Daphnia pulex: one gene and its partner. The protein of the gene in region 2 interacts with the protein of the main gene of each other region in a pairwise test. Links are inferred from orthologs where the notes say so. Each region holds a gene or a part of one and is shown on either strand. Other genes may lie near its edges.

Region 1 (9,332 bases), on a different chromosome or scaffold from region 2:
CCAACACGCACTCCAATCACACACCAAAATATAATCGAATCCAAATAATAAATTGTTTTGGTAAAAAAGAGGGATGGGGGTGTTGACAAAAAAAAACGGTGGAACGCTCAACGAATAGCACGGCTTTCGTCACGTTAATTATGACAAAGTTCAAGACGAAAAACTAAATTGTGTATCATGGAACTTCTGTTTCAACTATGGATATAATACGATAGTGGAGAAGGGTTATTAACGCATTGCAAAATTGACCAATAATAACTGTGTGCCTTTTTTCTTTGTTAATTATTTTTTTTGTTTGTTTCTTGATCTTTTTTCGATTGGAGAGAGAAAGGAAATTTATATGGATACTATATCCAACCACCAAAGCTGAGAAAAAAGAGAGAGAGATATAAACGGTAGTTTCACATCGATTATCACTGGAAATCAGTCGATCAGGTAAATTAAAAAGGAGAATCGTCACACAACAAATCTAAGTCAACACGCCCAGGACACAAAACAACATTTTGGAATTGTAGGGTTTTTTTTGTTTTGTGTCGGAGAAAAAAAAAAAAGAAAAACAAACTAACCAAATATTTCTTCCGGGCCGTCACAAAAAGTTTCTCTTTTTTGTTCCTCTCTAATTTCACATTGGCTGGTGGTGTTGTTGCTGTTGTTGCGGCTGTTGTTGATGATGCATGTGTTGGTTGTCGTAGCCGAGTGCCATCGGATTGACGGCATTGTTAGATCCGGCTACAACCCCGCGCTGCAAGACTTCCTGGGCCGGAGGGCAATGCGGCCTCGGTCCAGGCTCCGGTGTGTAGGTGAACGTCAACCTGGTGGCGTAGATGACACCGTCACTCCTCACCAAAGATATGGGAACCTACGAAAAAAAAATGACATCAATAAATCTGGAAAAAATAAGAAAAGACAAAACGGAATGAAAATGAAAAGTACCTGAGTCGGTCCGCGGACCCACTGCCAACCGGAACGGAAAGCTGAAATATCGGGCACGACGCACAGCATCGACTCCTCACAGCGGAACATGGTCTCGGCCTCCACGTCGCCAAACCACACTTTCAAATTGGGTGTCAGATTTTCGCCCATCAGCTCCAACATGGCCACATCGCCGCCACCGTTCAACTATGAAAATACGAAAAGGCAAAAATTAAATTGACGGACTAGGACGGACTAAAACAAAAAAATATGGTTGACGTCGGCACTAGCGGGATTCTTTTTTTAATTTAAAAATAATGAAACAAAAAAAAATGTTTGGGAGGGAGGATGAGGATAGTTGTGGAAAATTGGCGTTCCGCTTTGTTGGTGCCATCCAGCGTTGATTGTAGTGGTCGGTTGGTTGGTGGTCAACCTGCGACGGTCAACGATATAACAAATGTGTGGGAAAAAAAACGAAAAAGAAGACCAAGTAAGAGTAGGAGGAGGTGAACGGGATAAAAGGACTCTGAACAGCAGCAGCAGCAGCGACAACAAATCGCTCGCATAGTTTTCCCGTGGGAACGCATTCGCCACCCAAATTGGATAATATAACAAGAAAGGAGAAGAAGAAGTGAAGAACGAAAAGAAAGAAGGAAGGAAGGAAGGAAGAAGAACATCAGTTGAAAAAAGAAGCTAACCCCTCCCTTGTCACAATTTTTTCGTCTCGGGGGCCGAGCGTGAGAAGGTCCGTCTGGCATTCTCACGCCTATTTTCCATCCTGCCCGACGCCATTGGGGCATTTCTTTATTTTTGTATCTTATCTCCTGTCGCTTAGCCTCCCGTCAAATTTTTCCAACTTTTATCTCATTGACGAATCGGACGCCAATAAAACAAGAAAAACGCAATCGACAGCTGAAAAAGGGACTCACGTGTAGCGAGTGGACGATGGGGACAGGGGTGACGGGACTGCGGACGGGTCCCATGCCCTCGTAGAACTGGTACTCGGCCTTGTCGGTGCTGATGATGGTCCAGGCGGCTCCGTCGTTGATCATTTCCTTGTTGGGCTCCTTGGGGCACGGCGTCGCCTGGAACTGGATGATGCGCTCCTGGCTGAGGCACAGGTACATCCGCTCCGTGTCTTTCATGTAGAAGGCGCACTTGTGCAGCTGCGAGACGGGGTCGTCGGCGTCCAAAACGGCCATCTGCTTGTCCACTTTGCGGATGATGAGCCGGGGTAGGGCCATGCCCGTCACGCTGCACACCAGCTTGACCGTGCTGCCGTAATGGATGTAGCCGTCGCGCACCGTAAACTCTTCCGACTCGGATTCGCTGTCGTCCACTGCCGAAACAAAATTGAAATCAAAACATTTTATTTTTGTTTTCAGTTAAGTCGAGAAACAAATGGCGGAATTTTTGTAGTAGATGCTCACATAAGTGAATGGTGAAGGCGCCCCATTGGGTGGAACTGGCGTGAAAATTGTTATTGTCCACGTGCAGGTAACGAGTGCTGACCGTTTGCGAGCGGAGTCGATTGAACAGGGCCACTTTGGTCCCGCTGGCGATGCACACTGGGAATTTTTACACAGTCAGATGTTAAGTCAATCGAGAACTGAAAAAATAAGAATCAAAACACTCACGATCGGCGTTCTTGAGCGACTGCTTCTTCTTGGACGGTTTGGAAATGACTTTAATCCGCTTGCTGTGGAAGACGCCGATATCCTGGCCGTTGCCGTAAAACATTTTCACCGACAGCATGAAATGCTTGCGCTTGTCCGAGTCGGAAATGAACAGCGTCTTGGCCGCGCAATAACTCTGCCAGAAATCAAAATTCCCAATGAATAAAAAATTCCGGAATTGGTTAAAATTTGAAAATTACTTTGCCGTTGAGGTCGAGTTGCTGCATGTCCTGATCAGAGTTGCCGATGCCGATGAAGGCGCAGAGCTGCGAGGCGGCTTCGGCTTCTGCGGGCGAGGCCCCGTTGGCGGCGGCTTCGCGCTGGATGGCCTCGCGCCTCCTCCGCCACCCGTCGCCGTAGAGGTAGATGCACGGCGGCGGGCAGAAGAAGCGCTTCTCGTTGCCGTACGACTTCTGGGCCACTTTAGCGTGCAGGATGACCACGACCATGTCGCCGTGCTCCTGCAGGTAGCGCATCATCGCCTCACGGGTCAGCCGCTGCTCCTTGGTTCCGCCCCTGTACGCCGATCCGGTCGGCCTATTATTTGATATAAATAATTCATTCAATCAAACTAATCCGGAATAATAATAATAATGACGGCGACTTACCCGTATCGATCGATGGGCACCGGTGGCGACGGAGTCGAAAGAGGCGACGGCGGAGTCTGCAGAGTCGGAGCCATGGCCGAACTGGGATGCGCCAGGGCGTAAGGGTTATGATGTTGTTGTTGTTGCTGTTGTTGTTGCTGAGCCCCCTGCTGCTGCTGCTGCTGGTGATGATGGTGTTGTTGTTGTTGCTGATTGAGCAAATGACCGCCGCTCAAATCGCCGGATGCTCCCACCACCTTGTCCGGTGGAGTCAAAGAGCCCGGAATCAATCCGCCCGCTCCGACAACTGTCAAAAAACAAACAATTCAAAATTAAAATTTCCGATCGAGATCAAAATGTCCTCCAAATGAATCAAATAGACAAACAATATCTGTTTGGAAGATTTTGTCGAATCTGTGCCGCTCACATCAGTCAAAAAACAAAAGATTTCCTCGTGTGTCTTTTTTTTTTTAAATAAAAGAAAAAGAGAAAAGACAAAACAAACTTTTAGCGTTCTAGGGCGATCGACTCTGCAACTGGGAAAAGTAAAAGAAAAGCCGTGGGAAACGGAGCAGTGGGTGCGAGCTGCACAAGATTAGACACACAAGTCGGCACATTGCCATGTCCTTCTCTCTCTCTCTGCACACACAAACCCTCCCATTTTTAGAAGAAAAAAGAAGGAAAACAAAAGATTTTCACCCTCCCCGGCTGCAACAATTCGCACATACATAGACAAACATCCGAAAAAAGATGAAAAACTAGTCGGCGGATGGACGGATGGGCTTCTCTATTTTTTAGATGAATATTACATGGGGCCTTCCATATTTTTCCCAACAACATCTCGTTCGTCTACCCTTTTTTCAAATCAAATGTCATCTGAAATTCTTCCCCATTTAAAAATGATGACAATTTTCTTTTATCGCTTCCTACTAGTCCCGGTCCAAATAACAAATTTGACAAGCGCTCCTCCGCGTGTGTGTACCAGTGCGCCCCAGACACATTCATACAGAGGAAGGGAGGAGAGAGGATCAACGACACCTGCAAGCGCCCGGTTGAGTTCCCACGCTTGGCTATATTTGATGTTGCGGATGGAATAAGAGGGAGGAGGAAGGAGGGGTGTCTGGGGGGTTCCAAACCGAAAAGGGTGGGCTTATGAGTGTGTGTGTGTAGGGTATACATATACAAAGTTATATGTATGGAGACGATTCAACGCTTTAATGCAAAATGCATTTGCTTCTCTCTGGCCGATAAATCGATCGAGTGTGCAACGCTGATGGAACTAGTACTACTACTCCTTCACCTACTCTCACTCCCCCACTCCCTGAATCCACCGTTGAAAACACTCGAGTTCCGCAAATCGATATCCAACACATGGTGACCATCTTTTTATTCCGGGGGGAGAAAGAAAGAGAAGGGAGGGTCCGTGACCGATAGACTCTCCCCCTCATCCACCACTCCGCATTATGATGACGACAATATGCTTTGAAATTATTTATTCGTTTTGACTTTTAATATTTACCGGAATCGGGGATGCCCAGCGAGAGGCTGAGCCCGTTGGGTTTGTAGGTGTCGTTGCCTCCGCGCTGACGTTGACTGGACGAGGTTGCGGGGCTGTTGTAGTCGGCGGCCGAGAGACCGTAGAAGGCGGCCGAAGTGGCGGCTGAAACGGCCGGATTGGGAGGTCGTTGCTGAGAATTCGACAAATCGACCGGGTGCTGCTCGGTAGGCGTGAACGGTTGTTGTTGTTGTTGTTGCTGCTGTTGTTGTTGTTGAGGCTGGTTGAGGTTGTAAGAAGACGGCGGATGAGTAGCTGTCAGCAATTCCGTCATCACCTGCCCTCCACCCACAGACTGTTTGAAGGAAAATAAAATGAAAAGTTGCAAACGGAATGGAATTTGAAAAGTTTAAAGTTGATTGGATGTTACCTGTCCGTAATAAGCGGCATGTTGTTGTTGCTGGTGATGATGCTGGTGGTGATGTTGTTGTTGCTGCTGCTGCTGCTGATGGTGGTGGTGATTGTGGGGCGAATAAGGATCGTGCGAATTGGACCAAACGTCCACCTCGCCGCCGCTTCCGTGTCCCACGCCGACGACTGTCGAACCGGATGAGCCGACCGTTCCGGCCACCGATGTCACGGCCACACTGTTGTTGACTCCGCCGATCAAATCCACAGACTCGCGGCTGTGCTGGGCCTCGTAACCGCCACTTAAACTGAACCCGTAATGGGCCTGTCGGAAAAATTCAATCAAAATATTAAAACAAAGTTTCGTTTTTAAATTTCCACGCCAATAACCAAATAAACCAAAAACGCTCGACTCGACTCACCAACGGCTTAGCTAGAGGCATAATTCAAATCTAATCAATAAGAAACTATCCAAAAAATCTTATCTGATCCAAAAACAATCAATCAATCGAGAAAATGGCGACACATTGTCCCAATGAAAATAACGAAACGGCCGATTGAATTCGAAACAAAAATGAAATTGTTTTTTTCCAGAGTTGAAAGGGAGACCGGCTTGATGCTCGGCCCGAGTCCTACTGTCCCGCTGGGCTGCGTTACAGTGTCGGTTGTTATTTCACACTTGACCCGACGACGACGAATACGACGACGACGTGAAGAGAAAAAAGAAAAAAATAATTTCATCCCCTCCCCGAGAGACGTTTTGGCCTGGCACGGCATTTTGGACGTGCGCGTTGAGAGCCACTCGGTGGCTAAAGCGACGACGACGTCGTCGACAGGTGCGCCGATTCCCACACGCTTTTCACTCTCTCTCTCTCCACCCCCCACCCCGTCACCCACTTCGCTATGTATACACATTGAATGACGTCGAGGATAACAGAGCCGACCGAAAAAGAAATAGACTCTGGGAGAGAATAATATCCATAAATCTCCACGTGCACTAGATTTTAAAGAAACATTTTTTTCAAAAATCAGATGACGTAAGTTTTTGTTACCGATCGATGATGAATAATCCTTGGCGTATAGAAACAAATTCACTGGACAACATTGTGCAGGGAGGGAAATTCAAACTTGAAAAAAAATATTTTCCAACTCAAAAGTTGGTCGAGTGCAGAGTGCGTTTGAAAAAGTGACCGTTTCCCACAGTCTCCGGCAGGCAAATGAAGTTGGTGGGTTGTTCTTCTCTATGTATCCTAGCTCCTCTCTACTCTCTATACGGTTTCTCTCGAGGCATCTTTTTTTGAATAAGAGAGAAGGGATCGGATGACCTTTTTCTTTTAAAATAAGGGGCTCTCCCCTCTTCTTTCTATTTTTTAAAAGAACAAATTGTTTGAACCAGTGCACACACACAAGGGTATATAGTACGAAATACACACACATTTTTTGTTGTTTTTCCCCTCTTGTGTTGAACAAGAAGTAAAAAAGAAAAAAAAAGTTTTTTGAAAGAGATGGCCGCCGGCGGTTCCCACACAAACACACTAGACACTTTAGAAGGCTCTCGTTAACTCTTTCCGTCTCTGTGTGTGTGTGTGTTATCTCCAATTTGTTAGATTCTTGTCAAGAAATCAACCCGAAATCAAAAAGTTAAACAAAAGCAACTCAACTTTTTAAATGTTAAGTCCGTCCAGACAGACAGACGGACAGACACTTGTAGTCACCCAAATGAAAATTGATTTGGCGAAGCATTTGAAAAATGAGAGATCTTTTGTAATTTAGATGTTGAGCAGCCAAAAGTAAACCGATCTGGGAATCGGTAATACGAATCGCCATCACTTTTCTAAGAGAGGAGAAACTACCAAGTTGTTCAGTGCTGGGCTGTGCAGTTGCTGGGCGAGGCCCGATGGAATGTCAATTGAAAAAGTTTCTTGTGTGTGAACCCCCACAAAAATGAGTGGGGGGAAAGGGGGGGGGGGAGAATGTATAGGAGAGTTGTGATCAAAACCTCGACCCATGTACCCATGCACCCACCAAACCCGCCCCGGTTCGTGGGAAAGAATTTGGCCGTCTGGGAAAATGAAAAACACAGTCCCGCTGGTGGTGGTGGTGGCTACTATATAGACATAGTAGTAGTGTAGTAGTAGTACGGTAGTCACTACACACACAGAGACTAACCTTTTGTATGTATAAATGACCTCCTCCGCAAACCCCGGCGGGCACATCCTTCCGCCCTGCTTATTTTTTTCTCTTTCAAAACCCACACACTAAAGCTCATGTACTAACTGTTACCTCTCTATACTGGCTTTTAATATCAGAGGAAGGGGGGGGGGAGCAAATACATAATCAACAACAACAGAAGAAAAGTTTTTTTTTTTCCCACACACTCACGTGTGTAAACAAAATTCGAGCGGAGCGCGCCAAATTCAAAATTTTCAAATTGTTCGAAATTTGATCATTTTTTTTTATCCGATCGAAATTCAAGGAGAATTGAATTCGGATCCAATAAAAAGATGCCGGGAAGAAAAGGAAAAAAATAAATAAAAAATAAACGGGCTACCGGACAGGAAATAATCGTGGACGACAGCCAAAGTCGTAAAAATCGGGAATTGCCTATAACTGAAAATCGTGATGTTGACACAAGTCGGCTTCTCTTTTTCACACGATATCACCGGTTACGCATGTCTGTGTGTGTGTGTGTGTCATTGAGTCTGAGACACATTCCTTATCGCCGACATAATCATCATCGTCGTAAGATTCTTATCATCGACCCAGTAAAAATAAAATCAAAAGAATTTCAAACGTTTGAAAATTGCCGCCAATATCAACACGAGTCGGCAAACACAAAACTTGGAAAACTTCAAATTTTCTTCCTTATTATTATTTTTTTAAATACCCAAGTATCGGCGAGCGGACTACGTGCGCTGGGTGTGTAGGGCTCCGAGTCGAGGTCCATTGAGCTGGGCGCAACGTCGGGCATTTTGTCCAAATTTCTTTTATTAAAACTTCGTTCCAATATTTCACTGCGAAAAATGTTGACGATTGTCAATGGCTAAAAAGCGTCACATGTGTCCAAAACCAAATTCACTGGATAAACCGAAAAACACTAGGCGACGAGATAAACCAAATTCCGTTGAGATCGACGGATGTTACGAGACAAGGACGGCCACTGGGCGCGTGCTGATTCCAGTCCAACCGTCGTGCAACTAAACTGAACATTTTCTACCCAACGACGACGACGGCGGCGGCGGCTGCCCCCTTTTCACCTAGGGTGGAGTGTATAGGGGGAGGAGGGTAGGTCCCGAGCACACAGACACACTATGTGTGCAGCTGTACCTCCTCCTCCTCCTACTACCCCCAGCAAAACGGACACACAAGAGGAAGGAGGGGGGAGTTGAAAGCGTCATCGGGTGGGGGAGGTCTGTCTTTTGTTGTACAACTTTTTAAATAGACTCCAATAGATTTACACAGCAATCTGCTCCACGTAATAATCCCTTTGATCCAAAAAGTCCCCCAACTGATTTTTTCCTATTTCAATTCAATTCCAATTTGATCGAACTGAATTATTCAAATTAATAAATACGGGTGGTAAATGAATATGCACACACCATGGGGGATCTGTGGGGGAATCCGATGAATCAAACGTCTAATTATTTTATCGGGGGGGGAAGGAATTTGGGCCTACATCCCAATTGAAAAATAAAAATTTCAAGAGATGCGCTGAAATTCCCATTAATTTGTCGTCGGGTTCAAACACATCAAGGGCGTGTCATTTGGTGTAGTGTAGAGCAGGGGGGTTCATCCGCATAAAACTGAATAATGACCCCCTCACTCCCTTTAAAAAAAAAGACAGACATGGAGATGCCGGAGCTAAAGGGGAAGTTGTAACGCGAGCATAACGTGGGAAAAAACCAAAAATTTAGTCGACGTTCTTTTTCGAGTCTTACTTCGTTCGGCAACAAGTGGCGTAGCCAAAAAGGAAGAAACAACAAAGATATCCCCCCACCATACCATTTGAAATGACGTCACACACGTGTTTGTGCGGTAACACGCGGGACGATGGATTGAAGGAGAAGAAGCTCCTTCCGCAAAAGGTAAAAATAGAAGAAAGAAAAAAACCAACTGATGGGAACACAACAACAAGGAGAGTCGAAATAAATATCAAATAAAAAGAAAGACATAATAAAAAAAGAAAAAGAAAAAGTTTTTCCCGCCGACGCAAATGTGTGAGAACGACGTCGGAGTCGAGCATCCACGGAAAGG
Region 2 (9,918 bases):
GGCGCTTTTCGAGCGTTGAATTGTTGTTGCTGCTGTTGTTGTTGTTGCATTTGCTGAGGGGTAGGTGGTCCCATTGGGCTTGTCTGGCTCATTGGAACAGGTGATGATTTGGCACCAGGGACTTGATGTTGGCTACCGGGGATGCCCTGTTGTTGTTGATGCTGTTGTTGTTGTTGGACTGGTCGCCCAGGTCCGGGGCTGTTGCCTCCCAAGGGCGAATTGGCAAAATAGGGCATTTCCTTCTTGATCATTGGACTATTGGGACCGTAGCCACCTTGGCCCGTGTACGGCGTTCGATTCATGAACTGATTCGCTTGCTGCTGTTGTTGTTGTTGCTGCTGCTGCTGGGTTGGGCCTTGTGCGGATGGATTGTTGTACTGCGGTTGTTGCTGAGGCTGCTGCTGCTGCTGTTGTTGGTGTTGCTGCTGCTGGTCTTGGAAATTGCCCCGCATCCGCATGTTGTTGACGACAGGCGGATGGTGGGGAGGAACCAAAGGTGCACCTTGATTGGCCATTGTCGGGGGCGCAGAGAGACCTGTCGAGGCCTGATTCATGGCCGCCGGAGTCATACCCATCTGAGCTTTGTGTTGATGTTGCTCCGCCATTTGCTTCAATGTCAACGCGGCCGGACTGAGTTCCGGGCCACCGGAATTGACTCCAAATGGTTGCGGCATTTGCCGATTATTCATGCCATTGCCACCACCAGCGACGGCAGCACTGTTGTCCACTCTTTGCTGCTGCTGCTGCTGCTGTTGATGCTGGATGGGCGGGGTGCTTTTGGAGGTATCAACAAACGGCCCTGGAGCAATCCCAGTCGGATTGTTGTTGTTAAATGATCCAGTTGATGTCGATGATAGGGTGGCCGTACTGCAACTGGATGTCGTTATACTCGTCGTCAAGATGGATGATGACGTGTTGTTGTTGTTGCAGCTACTGGAACTGCTACTCGACTGGGCGTTCATGCTCATCGATTTGCCGATATCCAGCATGGCTGCCTGGATTTCGCGGTCGGCCGCTTCCACCTCTTCCTGCTTGAGTCGTGAGACGATGGAGTCGACCGTGCGAGATCCGTCGGATACCAAAGGAGCGCCGAATGGATCGGACAAGAGTCCGCCACTTTTGATGTTGGTGTCTGTCGTGTCGAAATCGAATTCCTCCATAAATTCAGGAGGCAGATCGTGTATCTCTGAGATCAGATCTTTGAACGTATCCGCATTGATGATTCCATCCGACGTGTCCTCCGAGATGAAACGCTCCAAATTGGCTAAATCGGCCGCCGTTTCATCAGAGTCGCCGTTCAATTCCGCCATAAAGTCGGGCGTGTCGCATCGTTTCTCCTTTTTCATTTCGGGCGGGCCATCTTGGCCGTTGGATGGCGACACCTGAGTCTAGGGAGAAAAAAAACACACCAAACATTTTTTAAAATAAAAATTCAATTCGTCGTTTTCTCTTTTTGTGTGTGTGTGACTGGATAATGACCGGATGAGCGTCATTGATAATCATCATCATCATTGAAATAACTCACCTCGCTCTTGACGGATGTGTTGGTGAGCGTCTTGACAGAGACGCTGGTGGCGCCGCTGGCGCTAGCGGTGAACTCGAGCTGCTGAACGATTTCGACCGAGAATTTGGCTGGGCCGCCACCAGAGGCCGTCGCCGATGAGCTAGCCGTCGTCGTCGTCGTGCATTGGATCTTGGCGGCCGGTGGTCCGTCGCCGCCGCCCGACGTCGACGACGACGAAGTGGAGGAGGAGTGATTTTGTTGATTTTGATTTTGGGATGATGATCCGTTCATCCCGCTGGACTCACTCCCTCCTCCATCTCCGCTCTCGTCCAGCGGACGCTTCCCGTACTTATTCTAATAAACAAAACATAATTGTCAGTTTTTTTAAAAATTATTGATTGATTGATTTCCCCAACCAAAATATGTTTGAAATGTGTTGCAAGACAAAAATAAAATAAAAGAGGGAGAAGAAAATGGTTGCCGGGTCGATAATCGAATGTCGGAAGAAGAAGAGGGGAAAATAGGGAGTCAAAGCCCCCCCTTCACTCTTCTTTTTTGGCGGAGTAGGAGGCGGACAGTCAAGGAGAGTTAGGAAGGGTGGTGTGTGTGTGGTGGTACTAGTCCTCTTTTTATCCACAGCCAAAAAGGGGATCAATAGTTCGCGGCGGAGTTAGACGAGAGAGAAGAGAAGAGAAGGAGGTGGGCCAAGTCCTTAACACACCACCCCCATCTCCGGGATATCTCACAGTGTGTGTAGAGAGAGATTCCGGCCCTCCCTATTGGCTACCTGGACCACCCCGTGACCGAACCGAGAGCCCCTACCCCGAGTGCGCTGGTGTAGTAGTACACACTCTATCAGTGATGGCTCGCATCAACGCCGCTGATTGGTCCGACACGACGAACAAGAAGTTGAGAGAGAGAGCGCGACAGTTCTCTTCTTCTTCTTTCTTCTTCTTCCTCTCATTCTGCCCCGAGGTTCAATACCTTTCTTCCCCCCTCTCTCTCTACACGGTCAAAGAACCTTGTGTGTAGGTTCCTCCTCTACTGTACGGCCATTCCTCTACACACCTAACATCCTCGATGGCAAAATACAGGACAATGAGGTCACCGACACACACAAACACACGAAAGCGCTTGACCCGATCATCACATGATTTCTATATTTTTCTCAAAAATATTTCCTACCAAAAATACAATGAGCATTATAATTCTTCTATTTCGGGGTTTCTTGTGTTGAAATATACACACAGCGCGCACCGGTTAAATTGCGGGACACATCCTCCTCCCCCCCACAGAAAGAAAAGAAATGGGTTCGTTTGCGCTGGTTTCGCTACCGGTGATGGTGGTGAACGACCTCTTTTGATCGCATCTGTTTAACGGGTTTTTTCTTTTTCTTTCCAGTGCAGTTATAATAATCTTGGCGCTATTTTCTCACGCAAAAGTCCATCACATTTTTGTACGTAAGACATTTTCTATTTCTCCTACCCAAGAGGAGCGGGAGTAGTGTAGTAGTAGGGGTGCGGAAGGGGTAGCGGGAATCAATGATTCAGCTGGTGGGCACCACACACACACAGAGAGACAAAGAGCAACTCCTTACAGGAGCGTCGCACAAGGAGTCAAGGGATCGATGATAGGGATAGTAATAAAAAAAAGAGAGTAAAAAAGATTTCGATGGTTTGTTTCTTACCGACTGCGTGTTGCCGGCGTGAGTCTCCGTAGCCGGTTTTGTACGTTCGGTGCTGGACGGACCACCACCGGTATTAGTAGTTGAGTTGTTATTAATTCCGCCGCTACTGCTGCTGCTGCTTTTATTGCTCTTGCTGTTGCTACTCGTCTTTTTGGCTTTGGGGTCGAGATACTTTTGCTTCAATGCGAACGACTCTTGCATTTGCTGTTCGCACAAGGCCGGTCCGATTCGATCATAGTGCATAAATCGATCCTGATGATCCTTGGTGTAGACTTCGACTCGCCTCCGCAGTCGATCCACGGCCGCCTGACGTTTCGGAGGCAGCACCTCCGACATTACTCCGCACGCAACCAATAATCTTATTGGCTGCCCCGCTCTTAGCTCCACATCCGTTGAGGCTCCAGTCTGCTGCTGCTGCTGCTGCTACTCGAATGCTTTAATCTTTCCACAACATGGCCTGTTTTCATGCTGAATCAACCTGCAATTGCAAAATATCACGTTATTAAATCATTCGTCAAACAAACAAGGAATACTAAAAATTGACGTTAAGAACAGACAGACAAACATCCACAAGGTCGTGATATAAAAACTATAAAACACACAATAACCTTGGACTCTTTCAAACACTTGGAATTTATAGATTTCCCAGTAGTATGTACCAGAACTTTTGTTTTTCCCTGGAAACTCTCTCTCTCTCTCTGATATCGAAATTGAATTGCAACCCGAAGAAAGAAAAAACTCTTTGAACACAATACTTTTATATTTTTTTTTGAAAAAAAAGGGCCACCACTTGTGTAATGAGACGATGGGTTTCCAAATGATGGCCTTGTGTCTACTGCTTTCCCTACCCCTCCCAGTCGAGTCCCCCCTTCCTCCACACACACACACATTTCGAAAGGGAGTTTCTCGCGCGCTTGTCAAACAACACCACCTAGCGAGCGGGTTAACAACCACTTGACGCGTCACTAACTGGGAAAAACTGAAAGATGAACATAAAAGAAAAGAGGAAGGGGAGAGACAAAATATTTTCTCTCTCCCCACACACAACCACACACACCCTTCGGAAACAACCCCAGGTTCGAAATATATGCTGGGGCTTGTTCCCCTCACTGTGAAATAAAAAACCCTCAACCATTCAAATTTCTCAGTGTGTGTGTGTATGGGGCTCCTCAATGAACAAAACCTAAAAATGGACGTTGACTGGAAATCAAAACACACAGACGCTGGGAATATATATGACCAACACGTTTTGACCCCCCCTTTCGATGCATCCTCCTATACACACACACACACACAGACATAAGAGAGTGAAATATTGATTGCAATCTCACGCTGGTGTTGTGTGTGTGCGGTTTGATAGTGACGCGGGCGGAAGGTCCCCCCAAAAACCAATTCGGTCAAAAAATACAAAAATCCCCCAAGAAAACAACCGGCATGATGATTATTACATGCAATCAATTGTCTCTATGACCGGATGGTTACTCAACTTATACTCACTCAACAGGTTACAACAATATTTTAAGAAAGCACATGTGTCATTCCACACACGCCATTTTTGTTGGCGAAATTTTCTCTCCCCCCCCCCATCCCACAAGAAATGATGATTGCATACCTGCATGTGCCGAGTTTGAATAGATCCGCAGAGATGAGGTTAGAGGTATGTGGTAGTAGTGAGTAAGTGGTAAGTCTTAAATTGTGCAATAATCCAAGACACGAGACTCGGCTTGCTTTTGGCCAGATTCCAGTCGACACACAGACACTGCAACACACACCACACACACACCACACGTCCAACACGTAACACACTCGTTGGATATATGTCCCCACCAAAGTTTATGCTTGCGCCAAAAAATAAAAAAGAGACTCGGCAGCACAGACACACCGAGAATTCAATTTTCGAAAAAAAGAAAGCCAATCGATTGAGTCATTTGAACGTTTTTTTGTGGTGGGGAGTAATGGCGATTTTTTCCAAGACTAATTATTCGTCGAAATTGAGGGAGAAACACACACGACACCAGTGAGAGAGAGAGATCGATTTCGTCGGGGATTTGGTGTGTTTGTGTGTGTGATTGACGAAGAAGAGGGGGAAAAAAAATGATTTTGTTCGGAGAAGTTTCAGAGATACGTCTCGTTCTCGTTCAGCAGCAACTTCGACTGAACACAATTGCCACATTGGCTTGGAGAGTCCCCCCAGCCCCAGCCGTTCGGAGCTGTTAGCCGTCGGCACCTTGATACTCGTAGTCAAGCACACGTCAAAATGTGTGTCTGCTTTTTCAGTTGGGGTGGGGGGGATATCTATTTTATTTTACGTGGCGCTACACCACGTAATTCAAACGTTGGAAAATATTCGACTGAAATTCGATAGAAACGTCCAAGTTGATGAATATACATTTATTTTTAAGAGAGAAAGCTCAATAATGACGACTTTCCGTATTAACAGGAGAGAGACGGATTTGACCACATTTCACTTGAAAAGCCAACGGAAAAGCCAAGCGAAAAAAGAAAAGAAAGAAAAAAGAGAGAGGGAGAGACTCGGGCTCTTCCCCGACAGACAGCGCCACAGCGGCCACGGCTGCAGACGCCACCCGTTTTCTTTCCTCTCTCTTTCGCCTCTCTCCTTTCATCCTGATTTCCTCCCTTCCCTCCGCTTTCGTTTACAGTTTCGGCCGCGCGTCTTACTTGAAAATAATTTTTTTTTGTCTTCTTCTCTCTTTCTAGATTTTTCGTGTGTTGGATTTTCATTTTATTGGGACACATTTTTTTTTTGTTTTCTATTTTCTTTTGACCTCTCAACTGTCATCTAGCGGCCAATGCGACCAACGATATACTAACGTCACATTTCTATAACTTAAATGCTATTTTCTCAATGCTAAACGCGCATAATAATTAGCTACGAGACAACATCTTGATGCAAACACGTAATAATAATACGTAAGGCAATAGGAGATGAAATTATTATGCCATTAACTGATGAAAATCTGCTCGTAAAAAGCCTATGCTTAATAATAAATCTACCAAGGCCGCACTGCAGGTCACAATGACTAACGGTCGTCGAGACGTCGACACACACAAAAAAGGAGGAAGGGGAAAAAAAAGTTACTTTCTACCAAAAACTGGCAATGCTGTATGTTTACCTCGGCGAAAAGAAAAACAAACCTTCCGTCCCGCTGATTTGTCGATTTGACAGTTGCTCTGGTAACGTTAGTATTGGCAAAGTAATAAAAAACCTGTTGGGTCGATTTCCGCAGCTTGGCAAGAAGGTAAAAAGGAAATAGTATTAAATCAGTCAACGAGGAGAACATGGGGCGCAAAGTTGTAGTCGCCGTTTGCTGCTTGAACCAGTGGGCTTTGGATTTCGACGGAAATCTGTCACGCATCATCGCCAGCATCCAAGAAGCAAAAGTACAAGGTGCTAGTTATCGCACAGGACCCGAATTAGAAGTCACAGGATACAGCTGTGAAGATCATTTTTATGAAGCTGACACTCTTCTACACAGCTGGGAGGTTAGCGTGTCACTTTTCTGATTTATGTTTACTGCGGTTTGTTTCTGGGAAATCTAGAAAATGATCTTTGATCCTCAAATAGGTTTTGGCTGAACTATTAGCCAGTCCAGTATGCAAAAATATTTTAGTTGATGTTGGCATGCCGGTTATGCACAAGAGTGTCACTTACAATTGCAGAGTTGCTTTTTTCAATGGGTAAGCAATTGTTTTATTGTTATTATGCTCTTCTTATAAACAGTACCCCCCTTTTCGCAGAAAAATCTTGCTGATTCGTCCTAAATTGAAACTCTGTGATGATGGCAATTACAGAGAATCAAGATGGTTCACTGCCTGGACAAAAGTATAAAATTTATTTTACACCAGTTTTTGGGATCTGTGGCCTTAATTAAATGTGAATTATTTTGTAAACAGCTTTACCAAACAGAGGATTACATATTGCCAGAGTTTATAAGAGAGCTTACAGGGCAAAAATCTGTAGTTTTTGGAGATGCAGTCCTGGAAACCTTGGATACCACCATAGGTTTTGAAATTTGTGAAGAATTGTGGAATCCCTCCAGGTACAGTTGTACTTGCAAATGAATATTATTATTGTTTGTTGTTTTAATGACCAGTAAAACCCAATATGCACACTATTTGGTAGTACTCACATTTCTCTCGGTTTGGACGGCGTTGAATTCATCGTCAACGGGTCGGGTTCCTACTTTGAGTTGCGCAAGGCCAACGTTGCCGTCGATCTTGTCCTACAAGCAACATTAAAGTCCGGCGGTTGCTACTTATTCTCAAATTTAAGAGGCTGCGATGGACAGCGTATCATGTTTAATGGAGGATCGTGTATCGCACTTAACGGACAAACAATCGCTAGAACGCGTCAATTCTCCTTAGAAGAAGTGGTAATTTTCGTCACAATATGTATCACTTGGATATTTTTAAAATCATTTCTTGCGATGGTTTATTCTTTAGGAAGTTGCTGTAGCCACTGTCGACTTGGATGACATACGAACTTACCGCAATTTAGTCCGTTCTCGAAACATCGCCGCTGCCCAGAGTCCATCGTATCGTCGTATTCCGGTCGATTTCAGTCTGAGCGAGTCTTCCTGCTACGCTATGAGAGCTTCCAGTACCCCATTCAAATGGCAGTACCACAGTCCTGAAGAGGAGATTGCTTATGGTCCTGCCGGCTGGCTCTGGGACTATCTCAGGTTGGTTTAAATTCATTTCAAACAACAGGATGACATTTTTTTTTAAACCGAACATCAAATTACTTGAAGGCGGTCTGGCCAGGGTGGATTTTTCTTACCTCTGAGTGGAGGTGTCGATTCAAGTTCCTCGGCTGTTTTAGTTTACTCCATGTGTCGAATGGTGGTAACTTCTGTACAAAATGGCGATAGTCACGCCATCGACGATGTCCGGCGTATTGTTGGCGATCCCAGTTACATCCCGGACGATCCTCGTGAACTGTGCAACCGGATTTTCATCACCTGTTACATGGGCAGCGCCAATTCATCGGCGGAGACACGACAGCGGGCAAAGGACTTGTCTGACCAGCTGGGAAGGTAAACGACCTTTTTTTAATTGGCCAACTTGACACCACAAACAAAAAAACAGACACTAAATTATTTTTCCTTATCACCCAATAAGCTATCATTTGACCCTGGCTATCGACGCTGTTGTCTCGGCCGCTCTCAACATTTTCACAGTCGTCACGGGGCTCGTACCAAAGTTCAGAGTCGATGGCGGCAGTTTGCGAGAAAACCTTGCCCTGCAAAACGTCCAGGCCCGAATGAGGATGGTGTTGAGCTACTTGCTGGCCCAGTTGATGTTGTGGGCCAGGGGCAGATCGGGTGGTTTGTTGGTTCTTGGTTCTGCCAATGTCGACGAATCTTTGCGTGGCTACCTCACCAAATACGATTGCTCCAGTGCCGATGTTAATCCCATCGGCGGAATCTCCAAAGGGGATTTGAAGCGATTCCTATCATACGCCCGGAATGAATATTGTCTAACTTCCCTGGACACTATTCTGACAGCTCCGCCGACTGCCGAATTGGAGCCCTTGCAAGAAGGTCGTCTAGTTCAGACGGACGAAGAAGACATGGGTTTAACTTACGCCGAGCTGGGTGACTTGGGGCGACTTCGTAAACAGGCAGCCTGTGGGCCTTACACCACTTTCTGTCGACTAATTCAAAGCTGGAGGGGAGCAGGAACACCAGCTGAAATCGCACACAAAGTATACAATGTCTCTTTTATAAAAAGAAAAAAAATGGAAATTTAGTACCAAAAGAGTTTCAATTTCAAGGTCAAACATTTTTATCGCTGCTACGCCATCAACCGACATAAAATGACGGTGATTACGCCTTCCGTCCACGCCGAGACGTACAGCCCCGATGATAACCGCTTCGACCATAGGCCCTTCCTTTACAACGCCAAGTGGGGATGGCAGTTTCGCGCAATTGACGCTCATGTAAGTATATATCGAGCCGTTTCATGCCCGACAGCTATACTACTACTATGTAAGCTTGTGAATTATTCATTTAGGCTTTTAATGGAATTACCATGTAGAATGTAGAAGAATCCCGGTTCGCCTCGAGAATCTTTATCCTTCCTTTTTTTATTTTTTTTTATACTGCTACCAAAGTCAGGGTGAGGAGGGGGGGGGGGAGCTGAAAGGAGGAAGGGGAGGTTTTATATGCTAAGGCTGTTTGATCTGTGAAAACTGGAGAGGTGCCGGCGTATTGATCGGTCGGGAAAGCCATGGCTTACGCATGTCATTTTTAGATATGTTCCACCTCCTTTTTTTTGTTGTCTTTTTTTCTAGTTGGAGCACGTCAACAAGATGGTCGACACTGATGATCGTAAACTAGATAATGCGCACATGCAATCAGGTAATTCTATTGCATTTTAGTTAATGGCGAAGAAGAAAAGGAAATCACCAAAACTCACAATAACTGCTAATTGTGCGGATCAACGGGGAGCTCCTGTGTGACCGTCTAGATTCAAATTAATTAATAAGCCTTTAGATAAAAGGAGATTATCAGCATAATATGGGCTCAACAAAGCCGTCCATGTAATTAATTATTAGACTGTAATAATAATACCGTCAAATAATACACTCCCAGATACATCATTTATTCTCTCCCATTTTCTTGAATGATTTCGTCATTTTCTGTTTTCTCGTCTTCCGCTGCTGCTGCTGCTGTTGATAATGCGACGACTTCTTGGTTCTTGT

What was found.
Region 1: the proteins of neurogenic protein mastermind-like (region 2) and recombining binding protein suppressor of hairless-like interact in a two-hybrid assay, tested with the Drosophila melanogaster proteins (6 studies listed by BioGRID). The link is inferred for Daphnia pulex from reciprocal best matches to the Drosophila melanogaster genes mam and Su(H).

Annotation. Positions count from the first base shown.
Region 1 is NC_060025.1:8,028,117-8,037,448, forward strand, and holds part of recombining binding protein suppressor of hairless-like, read right to left. Parts: 5' UTR 8,050-9,332; coding exon 7,966-8,049; intron 6,381-7,965; exon of another isoform or gene 6,131-6,380; intron 5,726-6,130; exon of another isoform or gene 5,522-5,725; coding exon of another isoform or gene 5,501-5,521; intron 5,404-5,500; coding exon 5,101-5,403; intron 5,026-5,100; coding exon 4,695-5,025; intron 3,483-4,694; coding exon 3,197-3,482; intron 3,126-3,196; coding exon 2,789-3,125; intron 2,725-2,788; coding exon 2,550-2,724; intron 2,481-2,549; coding exon 2,343-2,480; intron 2,252-2,342; coding exon 1,842-2,251; intron 1,120-1,841; coding exon 934-1,119; intron 860-933; coding exon 623-859; 3' UTR 1-622. UniProt on the Drosophila melanogaster protein: Transcriptional regulator that plays a central role in Notch signaling, a signaling pathway involved in cell-cell communication that regulates a broad spectrum of cell-fate determinations.
Region 2 is NC_060024.1:12,902,398-12,912,315, reverse strand, and holds the start of neurogenic protein mastermind-like, read right to left. Parts: upstream 5,748-9,918; 5' UTR 4,804-5,747; intron 3,670-4,803; 5' UTR 3,528-3,669; coding exon 3,192-3,527; intron 1,859-3,191; coding exon 1,526-1,858; intron 1,389-1,525; coding exon 1-1,388. Other genes in the region: glutamine-dependent NAD(+) synthetase-like, read left to right, coding at 6,492-6,695, 6,778-6,890, 6,951-7,035, 7,107-7,252, 7,336-7,585, 7,656-7,894, 7,964-8,248, 8,334-8,919 and 2 more; gem-associated protein 5-like, read right to left, coding at 9,818-9,918.